Coturnix japonica: one gene and its partner. The protein of the gene in region 1 interacts with the protein of each later gene in a pairwise test. Links are inferred from orthologs where the notes say so. Each region holds a gene or a part of one and is shown on either strand. Other genes may lie near its edges.

Region 1 (3,810 bases):
TTTGATGAAAAAGAAGTGGTAGATGCACTCAGAGTAAACAACAACCAGCAAAATGCAGCCGTGAGTACAGTGTCATTTCTTTTCCTTGTTGCTGTCATAGTCTGTTCATCTGGTTATTTTCACTGTAGAATTGGTTGATCTTCTTACTGGGGATGAAGTGGCCAATCATGAAATCTGTTGTGCTTGATGCTTTCTTTCAGTGCGAATGGCTGCTGGGAGACAGAAAGCCTTCTCCAGAGGACTTAGATAAGGGAATTGACACAAACAGCCCTCTCTTCCAAGCCATCTTAGAAAACCCAGTGGTACAGTTAGGGTTAACCAACCCTAAAACTCTACTAGGTAAGTCCTGGTTGCGTTCCAGCTAAATATATTCCATCTGCAGTTCCTAGCAAATAGGATAGAGACAGGATGATGACAACACATACTGTGAAGTGAGTGCAGCTCTGTACCGTTTTTCTGATGATCAGCAGCTTATTTCATTTTGCAACTCAGCTGTAACCTGAACAGAGCTTGGGATGGCCCAGAAATGGTGCTAATTTCTTAGGCTACTAATTCACACGTGCTGAACTCAGAGCGTTAATAGCTGCTGGCTGCAATGCTTTTGTGGTTTTAGGAGACCTTTTGTGGTGCTCCCTTTGGCTGTGAAAAATAAAAAGCAGGAATGTCTATTTAGAACCCTGATGGCTTCACAGATAAAACAAGGCTGTCTCCTGCTGTACAGCTTACTGTGTGTTTTGCTCTGATCGCTGGAATGGAAGGTAATTAGTGTAACCAAACAAGAAGTCAGAACAGAGGCTTTGCCTATCAAAATTCAGATAACACTTGTGAAAATATGTTTTCCCCTTCTTGAGTATCAACTCTGTGATAAAGTCTGTGTTTTTGTTCATATTTGCTGTGAGCACAGCAAGGACTCAACTGATAAAACCAATGGTGAAATGCAGATCTCTTATGTGTTGGCCTCTCTGGTGCTGGAGGACAATGCAGAAGAATGACAACAGCAGTGTTGTATGTATAAAATCTTGCATTTAGATTTTGGCTTCAAACTTGATTCAAAATTGTGTTTTGAATTGAAGGGTGTATACATGGCTTTTTCAGGAGAGCTTTTTAAGATGCTATTTTAAATGTAATTAGGAGTGTTTGCAAGACTTTAAATAATGCAAGAGCAGAACCTTCCCACTCTCATTTCTGAACAAATGGTCTCCTTATTTCTAAAGACGGTTCCACTCTTCAGCTCAGAATATAAATAGAAAATGAAATGTCACTATATGTGCTTGTAAAACTTATATGAACCTTAGAGAATGTATTTGAAATGATACATAAGCAAATTGCTTATGTCATAGATTTTAACGTTAAATGTTTGTATTTAACTAGATAGCTAAGGAATGTTGATAAATGTTTAGTTTTAAGCTCTTGAGTCTATGTAAAAGAAGACAGTTGAAGTGGTGAAAGGTGAGATCTGTACGTTATTCTGGGCTTTGCTGCAAGCATGCAGTGTGACCTTGTGCAAGGTGTTAATGATGAGCCCTTCAGAGGGCCTGGGTGCTTATGGCTCCCACTAAGGTCACTTAGAGTTTTGTACACTAATGCTCCTGGAAAGGTTCAGGCTGGCACCCTGTTGCTGGACTGCCGGGTTCTTCTAACACTGACCTTTTGGTGACTTCTGAATAGGTCAGATATGCAACTGCTTTTTTCTGTCCTGTTCCGTAACGACTGCTCCAATGTCTGCTAGTCTGGCTCAGTGTCATGAGGTTATAAATTATTGCCTGGATCATTCTTTAGCCAAATTTGTGACTTAGCTCTTGCGCTAAATGTCTGGTTCCCTCAAAATAAAGAGAAAAGGGGAAACTAGCATGTAAAAAAGAAAAGAGAACAAAGCCAAACTAACTTAGTGTAAAAACAGCTGTCCATAGAAAGGAAACTTAACAAATTCTTCTGCCCAAATGTCCCAATTCTGAGATGGACGTTTGGATCCCAGTTACGTGGTGTGTTACCTGCTACTGTAGCCAGTGTAAACAGAGAAACCCTGCCCAGCCCTCTCAATACAGCACTGGAGGCTACTGCAGCCATATCCCTCCCTAAGGAGTGACTGAGGCACAATCTCTGGCATGTAGGCAGCAACCTCCTTTTCTCCTGGGGTACATCGGTCTGAAGAACATTATTACATTAAGTTCTATAATGGAAAAGTTCTGTCTGTGGACTTTTGCAAAGTGGGTAGCTCTTCAAACCCATGTCACTGAGGTTATGTAAGGTGGGCTGTAATCCAGACTAAGTGTTTGATCAGCCTCTTCCTGCGATAAATGTAATGCTGAGCAGTGAGGAAAGCGTAACAGCATGTAGCACCCCAGTCTGAAAATGCAGGACAACAAATGGTAACCATGTGATGGATTCTCACCATTTTGAGGGGCTGCTTGCCTTGGATAAGCTGTAAGTATTTCTAACCTTCCTGTTGTTGACGCATCCCAAGCACTGAAGCGTATGCTGCTAGAAGACCAATAATGTACAACGATTTCCTTCTCTTGGCAGCCTTTGAAGATATGCTTGAAAACCCCTTGAACAGCACTCAGTGGATGAACGATCCAGAAACTGGGCCTGTCATGCTACAGATCTCTCGAATCTTCCAGACGCTGAATCGCACGTAGAGGGGAATGCCAGACCACTGTGCCACTTCCTGCTGTCCCTTGTGTCACCTTCTCAATGGGGAGGGTGCATGGATTGTTTGGGGAGGGGGGGAGGGATGCTGTCTGAGTAGGGGTCTCACACGAGAGCTTATGTAGTTATGGCCAGCTGAAGTTAATTGCCTTGTGAATTTAGTGTTAGTGGAAGAGGTTTGAAGACTTGTGTATGTTTTCAGGTGTTAGGTTAAAAATAAAGTATATCAAAAAAATAGGAAAAGGTTTTGTGAAAACAATTAAGAATCTGCTCGTCAGAAAGAAATATGATATTGCTTGTTAAAAAAAGGCCCGTGACAGTAGTTTTCTAGCCAGTTTTACTAGCACCTGGCTAGTGTTTACAAAAGGTCACTGACCACTAGCATAGGACATTAATCATCTCCATGCAGTATTAATTTATGGCTATATCAAATTATGAAATGCTTTTTAAAATTGATTCTTAGGAACTATTTTTTAAAAGTCCAAATACTGGGAGAGCGAGCACATTTCTATCCAGGCTTGTTCGTCTTGCATTATAATTCAAAGAGAATAATTCATAGATGGAATTCATTTAATAAATAGCATTACTTTTTCCTATTTATTTTCTGCGTTAGTGTTCTTCCAGTCCGATGGTAGTTACACTTCTCAGAGGTTGTCAGCTATGTTAGAGATGCAGTATCTCCTTCACGGCAGGACTTTACACCACCACTTGGATTCTCCAGCAGGCTGCAGTTCATAAGGTCACCCTATGCCATATCTTAGTGCAGGAGGGATATCTTCACATGGTGGGTTGTGAGGTTTTTTTCCATCTTTCTGTGCACGGTTTTGCAAAGGGGAGCTTGTATTGTTGACTGTTTCAAACTGTTTACAAAATAGCAACTCATTTGCATGGGTTTTCCCTGAATGGTGATCTGCAAAGAAGCAGAAACACTTTGGGTTTTATATATTGTTTTTAACGTACTTAAAAGCACGCTCGAAACTAATTGCTTTGAGATAGAAATGGTTATCCTTGACTCTTTCTCTTTGGAAATATCAAGAAAGTCAGGCTGTGTCACTCCTAGTTTTGTTGGAAGGCTGACTGGAGGTTTCAGGCAGGTGCCATGAGCTCTTAAGAAAAGAACTCACTGGTGAATATTCAGTTGGATTCTTGTGATTGGACCGT
Region 2 (3,910 bases), on another chromosome or scaffold:
GATTTATTTCAGCTCAGACACTTTGCTTCCAGCACAGCTCCATCAGGTCCTGACAGCACCCCCTGCAACACAGGCAGGGAGCCACAGCAGAACAGTGTCAGTCAGCAGCATTTCCTACTGCTAAGCAATTCAGCTTTCCTGAGGATCATTACAAGTCTGAAATGACCACAAGCTCTTCAGCACCGACCCTGAGGAAACAACACCACTCTGAGCTGGTTTCAAACTAAACTTGAGGTTCTGTGACATGAAGGCAGAGAGGGCACGATGGCCTCCATCAGTGATACAAGGCTGCTATCTCCACCTCAGTGCTTCAGAGAGCAGAGCCCACCCCAGCTCCCAGGATACTCAAGGGCCCCTCCTCTCCCTGCCTGCCTCCAACACAGCGCAGGAACTGCCACAGCAGAACAGCAATGAACTTATTTCCTGGGCTGCTGCTGGTGTCCTAAATCAGCTGCATGCTTCAAGCTGTTGGCCATGCACTCACCCCAGCGGGCAGAGATGCTGCTAAGAGCAGTTGAAATCACTCAGGGCAGCTCAAAACACATCCACCCATCCACAAGGGCACACTGTGCACAGAGCTTCAGTGTGTGCACAGACTTTGGAGGCTGTCAGAGCCTCTCCTTTAGGAACAGGGGTCCTCTCCAGACCGAATCCACACGCATAAGTCAGGCTCCTGACACAAAGAATTAGTGGCGTAGCTCTGACTGTCCCATAAAGAATGTGGCTTCAGCAAGCACTGACACCACAGCTGAGCCTTCCTGAACACACTGCTCCAGCAAACCACTCACCGTGGCTCCCAAAAAACAAACCCAAAGGCACCTACTGCAAATGAATAAATGGGAGCCTCTTCCAGCAGCAATGAGCAACACCCAGAGGGTTCTGCTTCCCTCTTAGTGGTGCCTGTGCTGCTCAGGTGTTGCTAATTAGCCCCCAGTCACACTTCCTGCTTCTCCCCAGCTGTGCTGGAGTTGCACTCCACCTGTTTTTGCCACAGGACTTTTAAGCAATTTGTGACCAGCTTCAAAGCACGAGACACGACGCTGTGAGCAGAGCTGTCAGAGGCAGCGCTGGATCCACACTGCTGGCAGCAGCACCCGCTGCATTCCCAACAGACAAAGCAACGGCCTGACATGGAATCTGGAGTTCTGGGGCAGCTTCTGAGGCTGGGACAGACTGCCAGCACCTTGTTGTAAAGCAAAACATACCTTGTCGTCAGCAGAGCCCGCCCCAGCCACTGAGCTGGGAGCAGCAGCCCTAAAAAGGAGCGTGTGGGATGGCAGACAGGAAAGTGCTTGAGGAGGGGAAAGCGAAAGGCAGAGGGGAACTGTCATTGAAACTGAAACAGCACCGAGTGCTGCTGTAGGAAGTGGGGGAACCTCCTTCCAGCCCCAGGAGCCCAGCCCCAAGCTCCTGTCACGGTGATCACTAATTATCCACGCTACACAGACACCCAGCGCACTGAGACGCTCACAGCATCAACAGGACTGAGGAGGGTGCAGAGCTTCGTGCAGCGCAGGCCCTAGAAATGAGGATACCAGGTGAGAACGGTAAACGTGCACACAGGGCCCATGATACAGACTGCAGTGTGCTGATACAGCACGGGAACACAGCAAGAACCGCTCCATGCTCACACAGAGCCACGGCCTCACACAGCCCCTCACCCTGCTGTATGTAAGGCACCTTATGCACGGTGTAACCCAGCCCTGCTCTGCTGCACACCTCACATCCTGCTGCGACCAGGACCCTCCTGCAGCCGCCCCAACAGCCGGACACACGCAGCTATTGCTTCCCAGCAGCTCGGCACGCTTCGAACCAAACACAACACACTGCAGCAGTGCCACAAGTACAGCCGAACAGCAGCACCATTTCTCAATGCAAAGCACCACGAGTCCCAAAGCAGCGGCTGCACCACAGCACTTCACAGACGGGCTGAGCGGACACAGCGCTCTCAGCCGCCCCCAGCACCACACAGACGGACGGGAGGCACCGGGGAGCAGGGCCCGGGACAGGCCCAGCACACAGCGCCCAGCACGGCGGGGTGACGGGGAGCGGAGCCCGAAGCAGCCCCGAGGTGAGGCCGCTCTAACGGCTCCGCTCTAATCGCTGCCCCCCGCTCTGCCCGCAGCGCTACTCACCGGGACAACAACCTCCCGCCGGCCCCGCTCCATTGAGCCGCCGCTGCCCCGCTCCTTCCGGCCTGACAGAGCCACGTGACCGCCCCGCCCCGCACCATAGAGTGGAACGGCGGGAACTGGGGAAATGGGGCGAGAGGAGAGGGACAGAAGGGCGGCCAAGGAGGTCCCGTCACGGAGAACGTACCATAGAGTGCGGGGGGGGCGGTCCGCCACGAGCAATGCCACCTTCCGGGCAATGCGCGGTGACGGAGGGGGCGGGGCTAACAGAAAGGGGCGGGGCTAAAGGGAGGGGCGGGGCTAACACAAAGGGGGCGGGGCCATCACGAGCGCACGTGGTGCCCGGCGGAGCGAGCTCTATAGGCCGGCCGCACCATAGGGAGGGCTGTGATTATATGGGAGGGCTGTGGTCTATATATGGGACCCCCACCTCCAGCTGCCCCACACACTCACCGCCCTCCCAAGGGTCGCTCTCTCTGGGATTCTTCCCCTTCTTCCCCCATTTCTGAGCCTTTGCAGGGCATCTTCTCTCCCATCACCTCGTTCCAATTAGAACCCTGCCAGGATTTCCCCCCATCTTCATTTAGGGCCTTTGCAAGACTTTTTTTCCTCCTAATCTAGACCCTTTTTAGCCTCACTCCCCCTCCTTCCCTTCCCATTCCCAGCACTATCACAGCATTCCCCAGCACTCCCCAGCCCTCAGCACTGCCCCATTACCCCATTTCAGACTCCCAACTAATCCCCCCTCCTCAAACCAACACGCTCCTTATAACCCCCCTGTCCTGCACCTCTCTCCCTTACCCCATTGCTGTGCTGTTTGTGCCCAGAGGATGGAGCAGCAATGCTAATTTCCCTTTGATACCCAACGCCTTCTTGCAAGGAGTGCTGCCCCATAGGGAGCCCTTTTGCTCTGTGCAGTCCATAGCACAAAGTCAACCAGCCTGGGTGCATAGCTGGCAACACAGACCTGGACTGATGCAGAGGTTTCTGATGTGACTCCAGAGGATCCTGCTGCATTTTCCTGGCAGCGTCACTCATTTTGTCTCTGCTCGAAGCAGCTTTTTGCTCTCTGCCTTAACGCTGGAGTTGCAGGGAGGGAAGGTCTCATAGGGGTGGGTGCCAGCGCAAGGTTCCCATTGCCATCAGCTCTGGGGTGATGGTGTTTGCTCTTTTCTCCTTCCCATCCTCTGAGAAGGAGAAAACCCCAAGGAAAAGTTTCTGACATGGAGAAATCGGTGTTTTTTTCCCACCTCCCTCCCAGTGAGGAGCTGTGCCAGCATCCCAGTGGGTGGCAATGGGAGCAGCCGCCGTGTTCCATCCCACTGGAGGGCAGAGGGACAAATCCCACCTCCGTCCGTGCCTCGTCCCTCCTTCAGCTGCAGGAAGGCGGGTGCATGGAGGATGGCTTTTCCAGGCTGCGCAGGAAAGAGCCACACATTGGAGCTGAGCGCTACCACTGCTGCGGGTGCTGCAGCTGGGACAACACAACCAGGAGCTGCAGCTCAGGATTCCCTCCTCCAAGGCAGTGACCTCAGGGGTGGCTGCTGGTGAGGTCCTGTCCCAGCTGCGAGGGGGCAGTGAGGATGGAGCCTGGCGCGTGTACCCCAGAGCTGTGCTATCCAAAGAACGGCAGCACCCAACTCAACGCTACGTCTGATAGCACCAGTGACCTCCTGGCCACTTCCTTCCTGGGTTGCATCCTGGGCACCATGTGCGTGGTGGGCACGGCGGGGAACATCTACACACTGGTGGTCACCACCGTCTCCATGAGGCGCAGC

The links.
Region 2: the proteins of UBAC1 (region 1) and RNF216 interact in binary tests that used the Homo sapiens proteins (3 or more experiments, as listed by UniProt). The link is inferred for Coturnix japonica from reciprocal best matches to the Homo sapiens genes UBAC1 and RNF216.

The regions. Positions count from the first base shown.
Region 1 is NC_029532.1:6,650,207-6,654,016, forward strand, and holds part of UBAC1 (ubiquitin-associated domain-containing protein 1), read left to right. Parts: coding exon 1-60; intron 61-200; coding exon 201-339; intron 340-2,523; coding exon 2,524-2,639; 3' UTR 2,640-3,810.
Region 2 is NC_029529.1:4,311,004-4,314,913, forward strand, and holds the start of RNF216 (E3 ubiquitin-protein ligase RNF216), read right to left. Parts: upstream 2,367-3,910; 5' UTR 2,320-2,366; intron 2,314-2,319; exon of another isoform or gene 2,136-2,313; intron 1-2,135. Other genes in the region: urotensin-2 receptor-like, read left to right, coding at 3,716-3,910.